Oryctolagus cuniculus: one gene and its partners. The protein of the gene in region 4 interacts with the protein of the main gene of each other region in a pairwise test. Links are inferred from orthologs where the notes say so. Each region holds a gene or a part of one and is shown on either strand. Other genes may lie near its edges. The genes, in order: CYTH1, CYTH4, CYTH3, IPCEF1 and CYTH2.

Region 1 (3,662 bases), on a different chromosome or scaffold from region 4:
GTGTGCACACAGCCTCTCCCTATCATCTGTGTGCACACAGCCTCTCCCTATCATCTGTGTGCACACAGCTTCCCCCCATCAGTGCACACGGCCCCCCCATCATATGTATGCACACAGCCTCCCCCAATCATGTGCACACAGCCTCCCCCATCATGTGTGCAGTGTCCCTCCATCATGTGTGTGCACAGAGCCTCCCCCCACCATGTGCACACAGCCTCCCCCACCATGTGTGCACAGGGTCCCTCCATCATGTGTGTGCACACGGCCTCCCCTTCTTAGTCCCTGCCTGAGGAACCCAGCCCAGAGAGACGACTCACCGAGCTTCAGCAGCCAGCCTTCTCGGTCTGGATTGAAGAAGGTGTGAGTGAGGTCATTCCCATCATCCTCTGGGATTTTAAAGGGTTCATTTTTTATGCTCTCATACAGATTCTGGATAAAAGACGACACTGCATGTCTCTGACTCCAGGAATCTCTCTCTCCCTCCCCTTCCTCGTCACTCCCTCCAGCAGCACTGAGCGTGGCCTCCAGTGAGCCACGGCTGCCAGCTTCCGCGAGCAGAAGGATGGGGCCAGGTCTGCCTCCAGCAGCTCACGTGACGAGACAGACACAGACATCCGGGGGGGTGACCAGGAAGCCGTACCAAACCACAGCCCCTTCCCAATCCCTTAGCTGGGCCCCGCTACCCGTTTCTTAAGGAAAGTCACACAGCTGAACGACCTGCAAGCACAGACCCACGCTAAACCCCAGGGGCTCCCGCGACCGACACCAGGGCCACCCGGGGCTCACCCGGAGCAGCTCCTCGGGCAGGTCGCCTCCGTCGTTGATGCCTCGGTTCATGGCAATGAACCTCTCCACGGTGGGCTTATCTTTGACGTTGGGGTTGTGCAGGCTCGTGTTCAACATGATGATGGCAAAGGAGAGGACGTAGCAAGTGTCTGAAGACGAGACAGAGTGGGGGCTGGGTGTGCTCCAAGCGCACAGACACACCCCACCCAGAAGCGTGAGAACGGCCAGGGAAACGGGGGCTCAAAGGCTGCGCGTGCAGGCGAGGGGGATCACGCGTGGGGCGGCTCTGGGCTGCGCCTCTCAAAGTACAGAGAACACTAGTCTCAAAGGACGCTCACTCAGAATGAGAGTATGCTGTAGACAATCTTAAAAAACAACATAATTGGGGCCAGCACTGCGGTGTAGCGGGTAAAGCCGCCGTATGCAGTGCCAGCGTCCCATATGGGCACCAGTTTGAGTCCCGGCTGCTCCACTTCTGATCCAGCTCCCTGTTAATGGCCTGGGAAAGCAGTGGACGATGGCCCAAGTCCTTGGGACCCTGCACCCACACAGGAGACCCAGATGAAGCTCCAGACTTTGGACTTCAAACAGGCCCCTTTGCAGCTATTTGGGGAGTGAACCAGTGGATGGAAGATTTCTCTCTCTTTGTCTCTGTCTCTTCCTCTCTCTCTCTAACTCTGCCTTTCAAAGAAATAAATAAATCTTTTAAAAAACTAAAAAGAAAATACAAATTACCTAAACTTCCACTGTTCACTTATTTTGCTTTATTTCTTCTACATGAATGTGCCTGTGTGTCCGAAATCAGAAAAGCACCTCACAGACACACACTGCACTAGCACCGCAATCAGACACACACATATGCACTTCTGCTCATCTTATCATTAGCCGGGATGTAAAAATTCTTCACAAGGTTTAATAGCAGGACTGGTGCTGTGGTGCAGTGGGTTACGGCACTGGCGGCCTGCAGTGCCGGCATCCCATATGGGTGCCGGTTTGAGTCCTGGCTGCTCCACTTCCAGTCCAGCTCTCTGCTGTGGCCTGGGAAAGCAGTAGAAGATGGCTAAGTGCTTGTGCCCCTGCACCTGTGTGGGAGACCTGGAAGAAGCTCCTGGCTCCTGGCTTCAGATCAGCTCAGCTCCAGTCACTGCAACCATTTGGGGAGGGAACCAGAGGATGGAAGACCTCGCTCTCCCTCTCCCTCTCTGAAAGCCTTTCAAATATATAAAATAAGTGTTACAAACACGATTCTTCATAGCCTTGTGTTTCACAGTTCTGAGTTACTACAAATTATATTCCTAGTGCCTACTGCAGGGGTTCTGGATCATTTCCGACTTTCTACTGTGGAGTGTGCATGGGCCCCAGCCCTGGTGTGGTAGAGGTTAGCACCCTGTGCTGGGACGAGTCCCACTCACCCGTGGACTGGAACACCCCAGGGTTGCACTGGCAGTACCGCTGCGCGAAGGCCTCCATCATCCGGTCGATCTTCTGGGCCTCTCCAGGGAGCCGGAAACTCCACAGGAACTGCCTGAGGGTGAAGGGAGGGCGGGGCAGGGCTGGAGACGGCTCACGTCCCCCGGAACTCAGTGTCCAGGGACAGGCAGAGACCTGGCCTTCAGCCCCGTCACACGACTCTCCCCAGACTTGCCACCCGGACCACCGGTGCCAGCATCGAAGGTACAGGACTTAGGGAAAGTGAAGGTTTTCCTATTCAACAGAATGCTCTCCTCCTAAAACAACACAGAACTGAAACACAGACGGAGCTGCTCTTAAACAAACTCCGGTTTCCAGAAAACAAGGCAGCGCGGCAGGAGAGGAAAACCACAGCTCTCAGAGCTGCTCCCTTTACATCAGAGAGAGGCCACGGCGGACAGAAACCTGTCTAACGGACAGCACAAGACGGCGTTGTCCACAAACGATGAGGCCGCCAGTTTAGCAAAAAGGCTCAGTTTAGCAAAAAAAAAAAAAAATTTAAAGTTTCTTTCTAGGAAGAAATGCAATGCACAAGCGCAGGGAATTAAAAGGGTTTTCTAAACTGAAGACTTCAAAATGTACGCGTTTTCACCAGTTTCCGAGATGGAGACCGGGGCGGGGGGGGTGGGTGGGGGTGCTGCAGAAGCTGCTTCGGGTCTATCTTAACTTACTTCCCTTTGCTCATCCAATCACTTCCAGCTACAGGAAGACCGACTGCTTTCCTTTAAAACTCTTCAAGACATTTAAATAACTTCCAAAGAGATCATTTCAACCAAACAGCACACAGCACAGACACACGGCCGAGGCCCGCCCCTCACCCTGACTCACCGCAGCGCCTGGCCGAGGCCCGCCCCTCACCCCGACTCACCGCAGCGCCTGGCCGAGGCCCGCCCCTCACCCCGACTCACCGCAGCGCCTGGCCGAGGCCGCCCCTCACCCTGACTCACCGCAGCGCCTGGACCAGGTTCAGATCCGTGAACTCATGCAGCTCCACGAACGCATGAAGAACCTGGATGTTGAACTCATCTCTGCCAAGAAAAGACACGGACGGGGGACACAGGAGTCAGGCGTCCCCGCTGACAGCCCGGCCGGGTCTCGTGGCCACACTGTCGGGAAGAGGCCGGGCTGCCCGTTTGCTGACTGAACAAGCAAGTGTCCTCCTGCTCTGGACAGAGCAGCGACTGTCCTGCGGACAAGCCGGCCCTCTGCACTGGGAGCACTCGCTCCCAGGGAGGCTTTTGGTGCGATGGTTAGGCCACCACCGGGGGTGCCTGCGTCCCGCGTCGCCGTGCTGGGCGTCACGGCCCGCTCCACTTCCGATTCCTGCTCCCACCAGTGTGCACTCTGGGAGGATGACGGCTCAGGTGTTTGGTCCTTGCCACCCGTGCCGGGGACCCAGGCTGGGT
Region 2 (4,280 bases), on a different chromosome or scaffold from region 4:
CCGCAAGGTGGAGGATTAGCCAAGTGAGCCGCAGCGCTGGCCAAACTAAACATCTTTTAATTCCATTTTCCATGAACATTTCAAAAATGATTTATTTGTTTGAAGGACGGGGTGGAGAGAGAGAGAGAGACTTAACCGCTGTTGGTCCACACCCCAGAGGGCCACAGTAGCCCCTGGCTGGGGCCAAAACCACAGTGGGGAATTGGATCCGGGTCGCCCATGTGACAGCAGGGACCCGGCTACCGGAGCCATCACTGCTGTCTCCCAGGCTGGGCGCCGGCGGCGCGCGGGAGCCAGGAGCCGGAGCCGGGGAATCCAGCCTCTCCGACACGGGGTATGGGAATGTGTTTTAAAATTCAGGTTTGTCTTTTAAAAAAAAATTATTTTATTTTTTTTTTTTTGGGGGGGAGAGCAAGATAGAGAGACCCTGCATCTGTTGGGTCACTCCCCTAAGGCCAGCGACAACCCAGCCAGTAGCCCGGACCCCAGCTTGAGCCGTGGCTGCTGCCCCCCGCTGGGCTCCAGGAGCGGGACTGGAAGGATGGGGCGTGGGCGTCCAAGCAGGGTCTCACCCGCCGCGCCGCACGCCTGCCCTGGGAAGCGGGCACTTCAGCCTGCGTCCAACCCAATGCCGGGCCAAACGCCCCTCCACCAGCATCTGGAAGCGCCCTCAGATTTTGAGGGAGATGCACGTTTTTGCAATAATAATACACACACCAGCACCCCTGCAGAGCCCTGCTGCCTCCTCCCCGCCCCTCATGCTTCTCCTGCCCCGCCCGGCCCCTCTGCACCCCTGACCCCTGCGCCCCTGGGCTGCAGCTGCCTCGTGCCCGCACCGACCGCCGCGGCTCCTCTGCACTTCCCTTTTTGTGACATAATTTTAGACGTCGCTGCGCCTGCCAGGGCAGCTGCCTGACTTCCCCTCCAGGGCAGCGGGCAGTGCCAGCCTGGCGCCCTCTGGGAAGAGGCCCCAGGCCGGAGGGCGCTGGGGGCCGGGGGGCTGCTGCTCACCCCAGCCCAGAGGCCCCGCCCGCGGCTTCCTCTCCCCCGCTGCAGATGCCTCTATTTTTAACCGGCCGTGGCCTCCTGCACCGGTGGCCGCCCAGCCAGCGCTCGCCTTCGGTCACCTCGGGGCTTCCTGGCCTGGACGTGTCCCCAACCACCTAAGCCCCAGGGGCGGGGCCCTAGCTGCTCTCCCACGTCCCAGGTGGGCCCTGGGAAGACTGAGGTGGGAGAGACCCATCCCGGCCATGGGCAGGTGCAGGGCTGGATTCTGAGCCAGATCTGGGGGAGTCTGTCCGAGCCCCGGCTCACCCCCGCTTTGCAGGTCAGGTGGATGAGGGCAGCCACCTACAGGCAGCGAGTCTGGGCTCAGCCTGGGGTAGTGTCCTGCCCACCGAGGAGTATGATCAAGGCTCAGGTGGTCACAGGGCTGTCATTTCCCCTACCCCCTCTTCCAGGAAGTCTACCCAGATCTCCTCTGCCTCCCTGGAGACAGTTGCTTCCTTCCACATTCTGTGGCTGTGTCCACTGACTCATCCGGGTCAGAGCCCTGCAGAACCAGCGCCTCCCTCTGCCCCCCTCACCCCAACACCCTGGACCAGGAGCTCCCTCAGGGGTTGGCCCATAGCTGGGTCACCACTCTACCCCACTTGACACACAGCACCCTGGAGGAGTGTGCAGAGAGTGAATGGCCGAGAGGACGAGCCAACCAGGCAACCGCCTGCACCTGCCACCCACCCACGTCCCCCAGGGCCAGCCTGAAGCAAAGATGAGATCCCTCCTCCCACCCCACTCCTCTGCTCTGGCTCCTCTCCCTGCCCCCGACCTGGGGCTCTCTCCTCCTGGGTTCTTGTCCCTCTGCCACTTACTGGCCACACGGCTTCAGGCGAGTCAGTCCTTGCCTGAGTCTCCTTCCCCCAGGACAGCCAGGCAGGACACAGCCCCGGGCGTCGGGACTCCAAGACCGCAGTCCTGTTGGCTTTCATCTGAAGAAAGGCTTCATTGTTGAGCAAGGTTGAAGCCACCTGGCCCCGGGGACCTGAGTGGCTCCTGCCAGGCGGCACCCCAGGTGCCTTGGGGACATTCTGGGACTGGGTGGGGGGACTTGGTTCCCCCTCTCCCCGTCCCTCTCTCCGCTCCCCAGGACCGTGAGCCTGCCCTGCCCCCCTTGCCAGCGTCCCAGCCTCCTGTCGTCTTCCCTGCACCGCCCTGGGTATGGGGAAGCTTGCGCCTCTCCTCAGCCGCCCCCAATGGCAGAAAGGGGCTGCAGGGTCCCCGTACACAGCCACCATCCTCAGCCTCGTCGCAAGAACAGCGCTGAGCGTTGTACCGGAATGTTCTTGCCCCGGAACCCCCGCGGATCACCCCCTCCCCCACTTCAGGGCTCTGCTCGGGGGTGCTTCCCTGTTTCCCGTCGTCCCTGCCCTACTTTTCTCCTGTGACAGTAAAGTGACATATGCCACATGACCTGTGGCGTGTGCTCTCTCCCACTGTAGCAGGTGCCCCTGCGACCCAGCCTGAGCCCCAGGAGTGCTCATGTTTGCTGCTGCCTCTCCCACCCGTGTCAAGTGCATTCCAGACCGTCTCCTTCCAGGACCTGCAAGGCAGGTGCCGTCACCCCGCCCCTCGGCAGAGGGCGCTCAGGCCTGCAGGGCCCGGGCCCAGGTGCTTACCTGGGTGGCACAGATCCATGGTGAGGCCCCAGGGGCAGCACCTTGCCCCTGACCCTCGGCTGCTCGGCCAGCCCGGCAAGGGTGCGTCACCTCGCCCCTGCAGAGGCCTCTTCCTGCTTACCCCGCCCAGCCCTGCCTGCAGGGAGGAAGTACGTGCAGGCCCGGGGCTCCTGCGCAGGCTCCCGAGGCGGCCGCACTTTCTAAAGCCGGCATCGGGGACCTTTGCATTCGGGGTGCGAGCAGGGAGGTAGCAGCCAATGACACAGATGGGGAGAGGGGAGAGAGAGAGAACAGAGCCACAGGGAGCCTCGCACAGACACGTGCGCACACACGCTCTGAGAATAGAACGTTCTCTCGGGGCCGTGGTATTCATCCTGGGCGGGGGGGTCCCCACACACAAACCAAAGGGTCAGCCTGCTTAGTCCTCCTGGCTGGGCCCCGTGTGTCCTACCCCCGAGGCTCTCGTTCAACTCCCACTGATAAAAAAACATTCAGTGCTAGCTAGAAAGGGCTTGCTTTGCTTCCCTTTAATTAAATGCCTGACTTGTTCCTGTCTGGTGACCAGTTGGTTATATGTTCAGTTTCCCTTTTCCACTAGGCTGCCAGGAAACTCACTATCAAATCTGAAGTTTGTCTATCATTGCTCCTTTTGAACTTTGTAGGCTTCCAATTTTGTGTATTTGTTTTAAAGGCAGAGTGACAGAGGAGGGAGGTAGGGGAGAGAGGGAGAGAGGGAAAGCGGGGAGAGAGAGAGAGAGAAATATCTTCCATCCACTGGTTCACTCCACTAAATACACCAGCCAGGGCTGGGCCAGGCCATAGCCAGGGGCTGGGAAATTCATCCGAGTCTCCCATGTGAGTGGAACTCAGGTACTTGAACATCAACTGCTGCTTGCCAGGGTCACATTCTGGGCTGGAGGTGGAGGGTGAGCCGGGACCCAGGCGCTCTCATACGGGTGCAGGCGTCCCAAGCTGCGGCGCCACAACGCGGGCCCCTGCAGCCGATCCTCGCAGCGTCCGGACAGCGGGGCCAGGCTCGGCTGCTCGACTCTCAGCCCTGCCACTTGGGACCTGGATGAACTCAGGCCTATGGCTTTGTCTGCCTGCTGGGAGCCTCACATTGCTTACCCGTGTGAGGGGAACAACCACACTCACCGTGGGACCTTGGAGAAGACGGAGTGAGACGGTCGCGTGAGACGCCTGGGCCGTAGCAGGTGCTGGATAAACACTTGCCATCCCAGCCCAGCGTGCCCAGGGCCTGGGGCCCGCACCGCCTCCTCCCCTGGCTTAGGGTAGCTCCAGGTAGCTTTGCAGGAGACTTGAACATGATCCCCATGGCACACTCGATTCTACTCCACGCATTTGGGCTGGACACGGCACACTGTGGCTCACACAGAAGGAGCAGTGTGGGGAAAGCCACGGTTGCCAGCATGGCAAAGAGCTCCGTGGCAGGTCCGTGAGTGCCACCCTCGCAGGTCCTGCTGCCCCCGTGGTCCTGAGCTGGCCCCCAGGGCTCTTGAGCTGGAGGGTGGGTACCCAGCCCGGTGGCGGTGGGAAGGGCTGGGATCAGCCAGGGGTGGAGCTGGCGGGCCACGGTCGCCGGGT
Region 3 (4,109 bases), on a different chromosome or scaffold from region 4:
AAAAATATAAATATTAATAACTATTAAAAAAAGTGAAGTGTTATGTTAACTTCAAGACCTCCAACAATCAAGAGTTAAATGTGAACACTGGGGCTGGCGCTGTGGCATAGCAGGTAAAGCCACTGCCTGCAGTGCCGGCATCCCATATGGACACTGGTTCCAGTCCCGGCTGCTCCACTTCCTATCCAGCTCTCTGCTGAGGCCTGGGAAGGCAGTGGAAGAAGGCCCAAATGCTTGGGACCCTGCACCCACGTGGGAGACCCAGAAGCTCACGGCTCTGGCTTCGGTTCAGCTCAGCTCCAGCCGTTGCGGTCATCTGGGGAGTGAACCAGCGGATGGAAGACCTCTCTCGCACTTGCCCGCTCGCTCTCTCTACCTCTCTGTAGCTCTCCCTTCCAAATAAATAAATCTTAAAAAAAAAAAAAAAATGTGAGCACATCCAGCTTATTCAATAACCACCACATAAAGACTCAGTTCAAATTCTCAAAGATTCTCACTTGAAAGAAATACTTAATCCTAAGATTGCCAAACATATTTTTAAATGTCTTCCACAACGGAAGGAAGGATGATTTTAATAAATCAAATTAATAAAGGCTGAAAGTTGCTTTCCACCACCCACCAAGCCGCTTGGCATCTTAGCAATCAATAAATAACTGTTCATTGTTGAATGAATTAGATGCTGTACTTCAAAACATTCGCCTGCCTATAAGCTGCTTTTTGCCAATCTGAAAGTAATATACGCTCATCCCAGACACCTGGAAAATATAAAAACTAAGAAAATAAAACATCCATAATGTCACCAGCTTTTATTTTGTTTAGAGTATGATGTGTAAAACAACTGCTTATTTTTAGTGGTTATAAAATGTTTCATCTAATAAACTTGCCATAATTTACCTCGCCAATCCCCTACTGGTGGACAGTGCTGTTTTCAATAACTTACAAACAGCTGAAGGCACACAGCTTCGTTCACAAGATTTTTTTTTTTTTTATTTCAAGGTTGTTTGTGATATATTCCCAGAAGAAACGCAAATGGCCCAATTTGAAGACTTCTGATAATTAATACCATCCCTTGCTGTCACGGTCCCAGTCCTCGAGTTCTATAAATTGCTGGAACACAGAGGCTTCCTCCCCCTACCCCCTTACACCTGCTTTTACCTTCACATCTTTCTGCATTTCCTCATTCAGAGTGCACAGAAGCACCTCCCAAATAAAATCGCCAAGCCAGCCAGCTACACACGTCTAAACACTGCAGGTCGTTTGTCACTCTTCTCTGACAAAGGGAAACCTACCACGACAAAGCGCAATAGGCTGGCGCCCGGCACCCACGGGGAACCCATTACTTAGGATCTGACGCTGCCAGACGGGGCAGCCTGGCTGTAGGAGGGTTTGCAACTGGGCTCCTGCTTGCCACAGCACCCTCTTCCATAAACAGCACACCCACTCGGGCCACAGCAAGAACCACGCCGGGCGCCAACTTCCCACCATCCCAGCCGCGTCGGCTTCTTCCTCCACGCGACAACATCTCCCTCTGAGCCCCACTTGAATTCTAGAAGGCACCTTGATTAACCACTTCATCCTGAAGCATTCAATACTGCTGATTCTTACAGGCAGCTGCTCCCGCAGCCTGTAATTAAGATTTTTTTTTTCCCTGAACGCTCCCTTATTACATGGGGGTCTGATGACTCCGGCTGTCAGCAAAAAAAAAAAAAGAGAGAGAGAGATCGTTAGCCAAAGTAGAGAGAGCCTCCACTTTGGGTGCCCCTGTTAAAAAAAAAGGGGGGGGGAGGGCAGATGGGCGTTAACCCTTTACTGGCCAAGGCAATGACCCACTCATTCCATCCGAAGAGGGAGGCACATTTTTCTGTCTGTAAAACCTGCTATGCAGAATGACACACAGCAATCTGACTCCACTCGGTCATGTTCAACCACCACGAGGAAGCTGAGGGTCCAGCAGGGACCACCCGGGGCTAGGCTGTGCAGGGCGCGACGCACTGTGGGGGGAAAAGGGGGTCTCCCCGCCTCGGCTCCTGGCTGTGGCTCCCGACTCGCACCCTCGGCTGCTGCGCTGCCTCGGTTCGCTCTTTCTTTTGCCTACTCTGTAACATTTGCTATTTTATAAAACGCGTGTGCAGACCGGGACTCCAGCTGCCCCGGCCCCTCGCTGAACGCAATTCCAGAGACCACTTCGGACCTAAAGCCGAGAGAAGGGGCACGATCCTCAGCCTGTCCTCCTCTTGTGCCCCTCCCGCAGAGCCCCGATTCAAAACTTTCCCCCTCCCCACTGCCTACAGCTCCCGACCCCCCGAGACATGGGGGCTTCCAGGGGGGTGGTCGCACACAGCTGGGGGGCTCCGGAGGGCGTGGACGCCCTTGGCCGCCACAAGCCGGGAAAGGTCGCCCCGCAGGGTCCCGCGCCCCACAACAGCGACCCCCGCGCTCCGACCCGCGGCGGCCCCGGCTCCCCACCCGGACCCCTGCTCGGTGCTGGGTGGTGACCCCGGCCCGCCTCGTCCCAGGAGTCCCCGGCGCCGCAGCCTCGGGCCTCCCGCGCTCGCCAGCCGGCACCGGCGTAGCCCAGGACGCCGTCTCCGCAGGCGGACCCCCGGCTCGGGACCCCCGGCCCGGTCGTCCGCTCGCGCCAACCCACCCCCACCACAAACCCCCGGCCTCAGGCCGCCAGCGGGCCGGCCACACCTCCGACACTTACCGCCGCCGCCCTCGCCACCGCCGTCCTCGTCCATCGTGAAGCCGCTCCCGCAGCCGGCAAGCCCGGGGCCGACGGTCAAGGGGCCGCTAGCTGGGGTCCCTGCGGGAGGGAGCGCGCGGACGGCCGGGCGGCTCCTCAGCGCGCGGCCCGGGTCGCGGCCGGGCCTCCTCCCCGCCGGGCGGGGCCTCGCCGCTCGGCGCGCCGTCACGTGACCGTGGCCCCGCCCCTCCAGTCGCGGCCCCGCCCTTCGGAGCTTGCCGGTCCGGGCGCTGTCTGCTTAGCTGGGGCGGCCGAGACGGCGCGACCCTCGGGGTGCAGGCCCCCTCGTGCGCGCGGCTGGCGGCAGACCTCTCCGCCTTGTGCGGGCCCCGGGATGCACGTGGGGTCTGGAACACGGGGACGGATCCGTTCTGCTGCTGCACACCCAAGTGGCCGGGGGGCGGGGGGGTGCAGCTCGCACGTGCGCTTGGTTTGGATGGGGCAGGGGAACAGCTGGAGGCACCCAAAAGTCAGACCCTCCCCGCTTCGGCCCCCCCACCCCAAGACAACATCAGAATAATTGCAGGCTTTCGGCTTCCTCCGGGGCGGTAGAGCCTCTCCGCTCCTGCCCGGCCGCGGGTGCGCGCTCCAGTTGCTTAAAAGGCTGCAAACCCAGGCCCAGTGGGGCACACCTGAGGTCCAGCCCAGGGAAGGCGGGAGGGCGGGAGGGGGTGGCCGGCGTGGCGTCGGATGCCCTTGGAGTTTAGCGCCAGCCTCTCTTGGATCGCTGCCAGCTGCCCTGGATTTATGGCTACAGGAGGAGGTCTGAACTCAATTCCCCGTGGGCACAGGCCTGTGGGGCAGCCGCCTCCCCTCCTTCCTGCCCCAAATCTCTGTGGATCGCCTGCCTCACTCGCCGCCGGTCTGGCTTCCAGTAAGGCACAGAACGCAGCCCCTCCCAACTGGCCTTTCTGCTTGAGCTAAATTGCATTAAAGAAAAGCAAACCTTGTAATGGGGGAGATGGCTCATCTCTAATAGAATTCTCTGGCAACTGTTTTATATTTGCAGGTCGCTCATTGAGTCAAAGGACTTTTCCCCCAGGGGGTCATCTGTCTAAGCCAACCACGGTTGTGGAGAGAATCCAAGGAGTTCTACCTGCAGAAAACAACAAGAATTAAGACACAGAGCGCTCAGGCACTTCCAAGGCCATGGGCCACTCTTGTGTGACAAAGGGACAATGTGATGCAGGTTCAGGTCCCCACCCACACAGGTGGCACGCTGGTCTTGTTCACATCAGTTTGTTATCTTAGAGATAAGAGCATCCAAGGATAGCATACTTTGAACTCAATAATGTGATACCTGGGTGTTGAACTCACAGATATGACCAACGTGAAATATGTCTCGACGTCAACTCCTGGTGTT
Region 4 (4,285 bases):
CCCAAGCACTTGGGCCATCTTCCACAGCTTTCCCAGGCCATAGCAGAGAGCTGGATTGGAAGTGGAGCAGCTGGAACTCAAACCAGCGCCCATATGGGATGCCGTCACTACAGGCGGCGGCTTTACCTGCTACGCCACAGTGCCGACCCCAGCATTTGTTCCTAATAAATGAGTCTTAGTCTATTCTTGCTCCTATAACAAAACACCACACATCGGGTAGTTTATAAATAATGGAAATTTATTTCTCATGGTTCCAGAAGCTAGGAAGTCCAAGATCAGGACATCAGCAGATCTGAGGTCTGGTGAGAGCCTGTTCCTGTGGATGGTCTCTTTTCCGTATCTTTATGTAGCAGAAGAGGGCACGGCACTCAATCCCTCCTGCATCTTTTTCAAGGGCATTAATCCAACCCACGGGCAAAGTCCTGCGACATCCTCATCACTTCCCCCTTCTCTTAATACCACCGTGATGGCTATTAGGTTGCAAAAGGAAATTGGGGGTGAGGGGACTATTCAGACTATGGCAGAGATTCAAGTTCATTTTGCAAAATGTAGAAAAATTTCAAAAAGCCTCAATGGAAAAAGACAAATAAGTGGCTAAATTTTTAACTGTGGGCGGCTTTACCGATTTGAAAACTGAAGAGGGGTGGGCATGGTGGCGCAGAGCGTTAAGTCACTGCTTTGATACCCATATCCTATATCAGAGTGCTTCACTTCTGATGCAGCTTCCTGCTAGTGCACCTGACAGGCAGCAGATGATGGCTCAAGGACCACATGGCCCCTGCAGAGTCCCTGGCTTCATCCTGGCCCAGCGTCAGCTGTTACAGGTACTGGGGGAGTGAGCCAAGGGATGGAAGATCTCTCTCTCACTCATTCTGCCTTTCAAATAAGTAAAGAAACAAAGCTTTAAAAAGAAATAAAACTTTATTTTAAAAAATAGCTGCATGTCACAGACTAGCATTTAAGTTCATGAACATATACAACAAGAAAAAGAGAAATAATATTTTAAAAAGGAAAATGTATTGACAACTACCTGTCAGTAAAGATCCATGACCTGGTAATCGTTATGCAATCATGCTTTGGTTATTGTATTGTCCTCACACAACAACCCGAAAGCCTTAGTATTTTATTATCACCACCTTACAGATTCAGGAGTCATAGAGCTTATAAGTAGTAGATGCAGATTTTTAACAGATGTGCTGGACCCAAAATTATGTTTTCTACTTGCTCTTTCCCACAAACCCCCATCATCATCTCCACTGCCACAGCCACCACCAGCATCAACTCTCCTGCCACCTCCACCGCCACTTCCAACTCCCCTCCACCGGAATCTCCACCTTCACCTCCTCCACCACATCCACCTCCACCACCACATCTCCACCCCTCCCGCTTTCCTGACCCATGGCTTTGCATCATCCTGGTAAGACATCCTCTCCTCCTACCTTCCCAGTTTCCTCCTCTGCTGCTTCACTCCGACCTCCTCCGACCTGTACCTTCCAGGGAAGCAAAGCAATGGCTACCCTCCCACACTCGTTTGATGAACAATCCCGACCGTTCCATTCATTCAACATATACTTACTGAGTGCATATGCTGTTTGGCACTGCTCTGAACCCTGGAACTGCGGTGATCCTGTCATTGGCAGGATTTTCTCCAACATCAAAAAGCTTCTTTTTTAGGATTTTCTACACATGTAAGGCACTGGGCATACTAAATCTCCTTGCAAATCGTCAAACCTGTGCTTGGGTTAGCAGCTCGCACTGCCTTCCCTTCAAGCTGGACAGAAAGCAGAAGTGAGCCATTCAAGAAGGATACACAAGTCAAAAGGAAAGTTTCAGGCAATAGTCATGAAGTAATTTCTTATCTCTTATTGCCACAGCCAGCTACCGCAGGAAAGGGCTTCCTATTTCCATGCACTGATGATGCATACTTGCTTAATGTGGTTTGTTTAAAATATTCATGCTTGGACTTATCCTCTCCAGAAAAAGACACTTGATATATAAAGAGAGGGAAGGAATAAAATTAAAAGACAAAATAGTGAATGAGTACATCAACAAAGGCACGAGCATAACTCCTTTCCCACCTCACTTGCATGATGTATACGTAAAGCTCTATTTCCATGTTCTATGCAAAATAAATAACTGTACAGGAATCAGACTTTAAGTGTTACTATAAAATGTCTAGGACAGTACCAGAAACAGGTCCTTACAGGTGAATGAATTCTAGTACTTCAGTGGGCTACACCTGTTTCCTAAAATTCAATTCTTTCACAGACGCTACAGGAAAAGACTCTGAGCCAACAACTTGCTCTCATTTTCATACCAGAGATTTCTGGTCTAGCCTGTGACCTTCTTCTAAAAGTACAATCCCCTCCAGTTGTTGGCCTGCAAAGAGGCATTCTCCGCATAAAAACGCACTTTCTCCAAAGAGTCTGGCCACAAACTATTACGATAGGACCCTAACAGATGTTGAATTAAGCATTTCTGCATTAAACCCATGGTCAGCAGCCCAAGTAGCCACCAGTACACTTGTTTAAGAAAAATAGAGAAGAAAAGTGAGTCCACTAGTCTACCCTGCACAGCTCTAACTCAAAGTCTACAGCTCTGCACTTCACAGCAGCAGGCGTATGAAGAGCTGAGCAAACGCCAAATCCCAAGATTCTAGAAATCACTATTCTAGAGATAATGATAGAATGTCCATCCTGTACCATCCTGATATGCCAAACAAGGACTTCTCATACACAATCAAGGAGTGATTTTTTTTACTTACATGCAGTAGGAAATCCAGGAACTGACTCTTTGGCGCCAAGTTCAGAAAATTCATAATAGTCTGAGGAAGGGTTGACTATTCCACTGTAAGCAGTCACAGCTCTGGAGGTTCAGTCTACTTGGAACTCCCATTAGAAGCTGACCAGAAAAAAAAAAAAAAAAAAAAAAGCTCTTTCAAAAGAAGAGGAAGTGTCATCTCCACTTCCTTAATTTTATTGTTCTTCCTTCTTATTGTCGCTGAACCCCTTCTTGATTCCAATATCAGGACACAATAGATGCAGAGCAGACACGTCCCATCAGTCTGACCCATTTATCATTAAACATTTCCAGTGTGTTCATTTCTAAGACATATGCATAAAATAGTGCTTGGCTTGGCTTGGCTTTCCTGTTTTGGAAGCAAAGAAGTTTATTTACAGGCATGAGGAGTGAGATCATTTGCAGAGCTGTTCTCAGGATGTTTGGTGCTGCTGTCACTTTGTAATATCAACCTCTTTTAGGTTCCATCTTCCCTCAAATTTCCCTCCTTTCTTCTACCCTTATCATTTGTAATACTCTGCTAAATAGAGGATGCAAATTAGTTTGTAAAAAGTAGTTAAGGATCAGGGCAGCGCCGTGGCTCACTTGGTTAATCCTTGCCCTGCGGCACCAGCATCCCACTCGGGCACTGGGTTCTAGTCCTAGTTGCTCCTCTTCCAGTCCAGCTCTCTGCTGTGGCCCGGGAGGGCAGTGGAGGATGGCCCAGGTGCTTGGGTCCCTGCACCTGCATGGGAGACCAGGAGGAAGCACCTGGCTCCTGACTTCAAATCGCCACAGTTCCAGCCGTAGCGGCCATTTGGTGAGTGAACCAATAGAAGGAAGACCTTTCTCTCTCTCTCTCTCTCTCTCTCTGTCTATAATTCTACCTGTAAAATAAAAAAAAAAAGTAGTTAAGGATTTAAATAAGTCTTTGGAAAGGTGTTATGGTGCTATGGGTTAGGCTACTGCTTGGAATTCCTAAATCCCATCACAGCGACTCTATTTATTATTCAATTCCCAGACAGTGCTCCTTGGAGAAAGCAGATGATGGCTTAAATCTTGAATCTCTGCCACCCACAAGGGAGAAACAGATGGAGTTCCTGGCTCCTGGCTTCAGCTTGGTTCACTTCATTACCAAGACACATTGTTTAGGTCTACAAATCTAATGATTCTCATTCCATCTCCAAGACACAGATAAATTAGCACACATTCAAAAACCTAAGCTATAAAACTAGCCAGAATCTAGGTGGAAATGGAAACAAATGGAAAATTTTTCACATAGTCACAGCGTGAGCAGGCTTCAAAGCAATCAGGAGGAGGCACTGACTTATGATCGGCATGCAGACAGTATCAGCAATCAGCTTGATTTACAGAGTCATACAATTCATCCCATTAGGAGTAGACTTTCTCAACATATGACCTTCTTTTTCTCAATACTTGATGAATGTGCTCCTTCCTCCGAATGATAAAACAGGATTTCATGACCTTTGGATCCTACCAAACCCAC
Region 5 (4,169 bases), on a different chromosome or scaffold from region 4:
GGGTAGGACAGGACCCGGGCCGCTCATAAAGGTCAGTGAGGGGATTAAAAGGCTCCATGTCTAATCCAACGGCTTAACCAGGTCCTGGCCCCGAATCCGTCCCCGCCCGCCCAGCCCAGGGACGGCAAATGAGGTGAGGCCCAGAGACTTCAGTCCCCGTGGTCTGACCACTCACAGGGGCTCGGCGGTTCTGTCCAGGCGGGACCTGCGCACCTGCCACCCCCGGCCGGGGCTGTGGAACGGGAGGGCCTGGGGCGCGGGGGGAGTCTGAGAGGGTCGGGGTGGGGGATGCCTGAACAGAGCAGAGCCGGAGTCGGGGGAGAGAAAGCAGAGAGGCGGCAGAGAAAAGAGAAAGAGGTAGAGACTCGGAGGGAGGATGCTACGCTAAGGGGAGGGGCTTAGGAAAGAGGGCGGAGCCGGTGCTGTCCCTAACGTCCCATTCTGCGTGACCGGTACCCGGGAGTGTAGCATTTGACAGAACTCCATTTCACTACGTCCTGACCCTGAAGCGGCTGGAGTGGTCATGTGGGGCGTTAAGGGAAGGGTCTGCACGTAGCAAGGGAGACGCGAGGCAAAAGGCCGGCGAAGCCGCTCATGGTTGCGCGGCAACCGCGGCGGTCCAAAGCCAGCGTGGCCGGCCGGGAGGTGTGGCTCACGGCCTAGGCCCCGCCCCCTAGCAACAGGACTAACAAAGTAACGCCCCCTGGCAACGTGCTGAGAGGCGGGGCTCGACTGACCCAGACTCCGCGCGCCCCGAGTCCTTGCGCAGGCTCAGTGTTCTCCGCTCGCGCACAGCCCCACCTCCTCACAACGCCTTTGCGAGGCTTCTCATTGGTGGACAGGCTTGCCAAGGGCATTCTTTTGTTTCGGGGGCGGGGCCTGGCGCCCTGCCCGCACCCCGATTGGGCCCCCTGGCTGTCTACCTCCGGCCGGACATGCCTAACACCTGTTTCTTGTGTGCCTATTGGCCTGGGCGGACTGTCCTTTGGCGTCGGGGGGCGGTGCAGCCCGGAGGGGTCGCCGCGGATTGGGCGGTGTCAAGACGAGGGGCGGTCCCTACCGGCCGGGCGGTTGGGCGACGAAGGGAGAGTCTTTTCAGCGCTGAGGACTGGCGCTGAGGAGGCGGCGGTGGCTCCCGGGGCGTTTGAGCGGGCTCACCCGAGCCCGCGGGCCAGCGCGGATCCAGGCCCGACTGGCGGGACCGCCCCGGACTCCCCGCGGGCCTTCCTCGCCGCCATGGAGGACGGCGTCTACGGTAGGCCGGAGGGGCGGGGCCGTGGAGCGGATGGAGCGTTCCCTGGCGAACGCCCCGCCGCCGGCGTTCGCGCCCGGCGCCCGCCGCCCGGGGTCCTCGGCGCCGCCGTCGCCGCCGCGCTGGCCGGGGCGCCGGGCGGGCTTCCGGCGGGGTCCGCGAGCGCGGGGCGTTCCGGGCCATTGTCTGGGCCGAGCCCGTTTCCGGCGTCGGCGGGAGGGGGCGGGATGGCGCGGCGGAGGCGAGGCCGGGGCGGAACCATTCCCGCCGGAGGGGCCGGGCGAGCCCAGCGGCGGGCGGGGAGGGGAGGCCGTGGGGGCTGCCGGGTCCGCCGAGGCCCGGCCGCGCCGTCCCGACTCCGCGGGCTGCCGTCGGCTTCTCCTGCCGTGGTCACTTCCCTTGGACCCAGGGCTTCCGAAGACCCAGGCCCATCTTCCCCCGGGCCCCCCGGCCGCCGCGCCAGTAATGGAATCAGAACACCACGGCCGCTTTCCAAGTAATGGACCCGGAGGCCGAGGCTCCCACGCGGGTTCCCCCTCAGACTCTGGGGGCCGGGCCCTAAGCCCCCCCGCCCCCCCCGGGACTCCCGGCCTCAGCCCTGGCCTGAGCGGTCCAGGCTGCTAGTGCCCCCTTCATCCGAGGCAGGCGCCTCACCTGCGTCCTGCCCCAGCCCCGTCTCGCCCCACGTTGCAAGCATGCAGGCTCCCGGCCCCAGGGCTGACCCTCGGCACCCCGACCCCGGCCCCGCAGAACCCCCAGACCTGACGCCGGAGGAGCGGATGGAGCTGGAGAACATCCGACGGCGGAAGCAGGAGCTGCTCGTGGAGATCCAGCGCCTGCGGGAGGAGCTCAGCGAGGCCATGAGCGAGGTGGAGGGGCTGGAGGCCAACGAGGGCAGGTGAGGGCCGGGCCCGGGGCGGGCGGCCCGAGCCAGGCCGGCCCAGGACGCCAGGCCTGACCCTGGGCCGCCGCCCCCGCCCTGCTTCGTGTCCCCTGCAGTAAGACCTTGCAGCGGAACCGGAAGATGGCAATGGGCAGGAAGAAGTTCAACATGGACCCCAAGAAGGTACCGGGGGCCAAGGGCTGGGTGCTGCCGGGGGGCGGGGGGTTGTAGCAGGTTTGTCCCCAGTCCCTGGACTCAGCTACTGGCTGTCCGCTTGCGCTGTGAGCCCTGAGCAGTCCAACCTCTGGGGAGGCGCCAGACACCAGGCTGTGGACAGCCAAACGGGGAGCCTGGGGGGCTGCCCCGAGGAGGAGACCAGGTTAGGTTTGGAGGATGGAGAGGCGTTCACCAGTTGGAGGAAAGACTTTTTTAAAAGGGGGAAAGAGAGGGAGGGAGGTCCCAACAGCCAGGGCTGGGCCAGGTCAAAGCCAGGAGCTTCTTCCGGGTCTCACGCACAGGTGCAGGGGCCCAAGGACGTGGCCATGATCTGCTGCCTTCCCGGCACGTTAGCAGGCGGGTGGCTTGGAAGTGGAGCAGCCGGGACGCGCACGCTGGCCCAGCATTGCTCACCCAGTCGTTCATTTAACACCCGTTTTCCAGTGCCTCCCGAGGGCCCGACCCTGTGCCGGGCGGAGCTGGGGACCCAGGGAGGAGAGGCCCTGGACACAGACCCACCGCCCAGAACGAGCTGTAGCTGCAGCGTAGGGGCTGCACGGCCAAGAGGGCGCCGAGGAGCCTCCAGGCCGCCTGGGGCTCGGTGTCCACCACTGCTGCCCACTGACACCGTCACTCAGCAAGCAGGTGTTCAGCGTGGACCTAGCCAGGCAGGGACAGGGAGGCTGAGGTCCAGGCACCTGTGACGGCCTGGCCCCGGGCACTGAGAGCCCGCTCTCGCCCGCCAGGGGATCCAGTTCTTGGTGGAGAATGAACTTCTGCAGAATACCCCCGAGGAGATCGCCCGCTTCCTGTACAAGGGTGAGGGGCTGAACAAGACAGCCATCGGGGACTACCTGGGGGAGAGGTGAGCCCCTTCATGCCTGCCGGCCTCGCTCCCTGGGCAGGGCCCCTGCACACTGGCCCTCGGACCGGACTGCTGCGGAGTGTGTGTGTCTGGGTGTGGGCGGCCTGCCAGCGCCCAAGACGGGGGTCCCCTTATAGAGAGCATCCAGGAGCATCACGGGAGTGGGAGAACCAGGCATGGGCTGCAGGTGTGCGTGGGAGCTGTCTGGCCAGCCAGGGAGTGTGGGGACGCGTGGCAGGCCCCTAGGGAGCACGGACCCCGTGGACATCTAGGCGATGTGCAGCTGGGTGATGGCTGGGGAGCATGTGGCTGGCGGGGGGCATTGGCAGGCCTTCATGGCCACTGGGGTGCACGTCTAGGGGCCAGGGCACCGTGTCCACATCTGGGGAGTGTGGGGTCGTCTGAGGGGGCAGGAGGTGGCGTGGGTGGTGGGTGCGAGTCTCCCAGCAACGGTGCAGCTAAACTTGAGCAGCCCTGCCGTGGGGCCAGGCGGGAAGCCGCGTTCCCTGCCGAGGGCCAGCTGCCCCAGTGCCCCCTGTGCGTTCCTGTGTGTGTGACTGTCCTGTGCTCGCAGGGAGGAGCTGAACCTGGCCGTGCTCCATGCTTTTGTGGATCTGCATGAGTTCACCGACCTCAATCTGGTGCAGGCCCTCAGGTGAGGGGAGGGGTCGGGGGGGCAGAAAGTCACTTTCCTTAGTCCGGAGTGGTGAGCCCCACCCCACACAAAACTAGGGAGTTGATTGCTTCTTGTAATGCCAAAGTCCATGAGTGAGCCTCCTCCAGGCACGGCCGTATCCAGGCGCCCTCTTCGCTCGTCGTGTTGGCATTGAGCTTCTTGACCTTCCTACGTGGCACCAGAAGCCCGTAGCAACCACCAGACCTGTTTAGAAACCTCAGAAGAAGTATTTTTAATTTTCATTTTATTCGAAAGGCAGAGAGAGACCTAGGCAGAA

The links.
Region 1: the proteins of IPCEF1 (region 4) and CYTH1 interact in binary tests that used the Homo sapiens proteins (3 or more experiments, as listed by UniProt). The link is inferred for Oryctolagus cuniculus from reciprocal best matches to the Homo sapiens genes IPCEF1 and CYTH1.
Region 2: the proteins of IPCEF1 (region 4) and CYTH4 interact in binary tests that used the Homo sapiens proteins (3 or more experiments, as listed by UniProt). The link is inferred for Oryctolagus cuniculus from reciprocal best matches to the Homo sapiens genes IPCEF1 and CYTH4.
Region 3: the proteins of IPCEF1 (region 4) and CYTH3 interact in binary tests that used the Homo sapiens proteins (3 or more experiments, as listed by UniProt). The link is inferred for Oryctolagus cuniculus from reciprocal best matches to the Homo sapiens genes IPCEF1 and CYTH3.
Region 5: the proteins of IPCEF1 (region 4) and CYTH2 interact in binary tests that used the Homo sapiens proteins (3 or more experiments, as listed by UniProt). The link is inferred for Oryctolagus cuniculus from reciprocal best matches to the Homo sapiens genes IPCEF1 and CYTH2.

Annotation. Positions count from the first base shown.
Region 1 is NC_091448.1:2,963,911-2,967,572, reverse strand, and holds part of CYTH1 (cytohesin-1), read right to left. Parts: intron 3,285-3,662; coding exon 3,204-3,284; intron 2,312-3,203; coding exon 2,199-2,311; intron 936-2,198; coding exon 787-935; intron 430-786; coding exon 318-429; coding exon of another isoform or gene 317-317; intron 1-316. UniProt on the Homo sapiens protein: Promotes guanine-nucleotide exchange on ARF1, ARF5 and ARF6. Promotes the activation of ARF factors through replacement of GDP with GTP.
Region 2 is NC_091442.1:114,279,893-114,284,172, reverse strand, and holds the start of CYTH4 (cytohesin-4), read right to left. Parts: upstream 2,829-4,280; 5' UTR 2,695-2,828; coding exon 2,676-2,694; intron 1-2,675. UniProt on the Homo sapiens protein: Promotes guanine-nucleotide exchange on ARF1 and ARF5. Promotes the activation of ARF factors through replacement of GDP with GTP.
Region 3 is NC_091450.1:40,180,102-40,184,210, reverse strand, and holds the start of CYTH3 (cytohesin-3), read right to left. Parts: upstream 2,893-4,109; 5' UTR 2,742-2,892; coding exon 2,708-2,741; intron 1-2,707. UniProt on the Homo sapiens protein: Promotes guanine-nucleotide exchange on ARF1 and ARF6. Promotes the activation of ARF factors through replacement of GDP with GTP. Plays a role in the epithelial polarization.
Region 4 is NC_091436.1:13,312,905-13,317,189, reverse strand, and holds the start of IPCEF1 (interactor protein for cytohesin exchange factors 1), read right to left. Parts: upstream 2,932-4,285; 5' UTR 2,765-2,931; intron 1,987-2,764; exon of another isoform or gene 1,577-1,986; intron 1-1,576. UniProt on the Homo sapiens protein: Enhances the promotion of guanine-nucleotide exchange by PSCD2 on ARF6 in a concentration-dependent manner.
Region 5 is NC_091449.1:8,592,721-8,596,889, reverse strand, and holds the start of CYTH2 (cytohesin-2), read left to right. Parts: upstream 1-1,269; 5' UTR 1,270-1,285; coding exon 1,286-1,748; intron 1,749-2,002; coding exon 2,003-2,150; intron 2,151-2,251; coding exon 2,252-2,318; intron 2,319-3,097; coding exon 3,098-3,216; intron 3,217-3,790; coding exon 3,791-3,871; intron 3,872-4,169. UniProt on the Homo sapiens protein: Acts as a guanine-nucleotide exchange factor (GEF). Promotes guanine-nucleotide exchange on ARF1, ARF3 and ARF6. Activates ARF factors through replacement of GDP with GTP.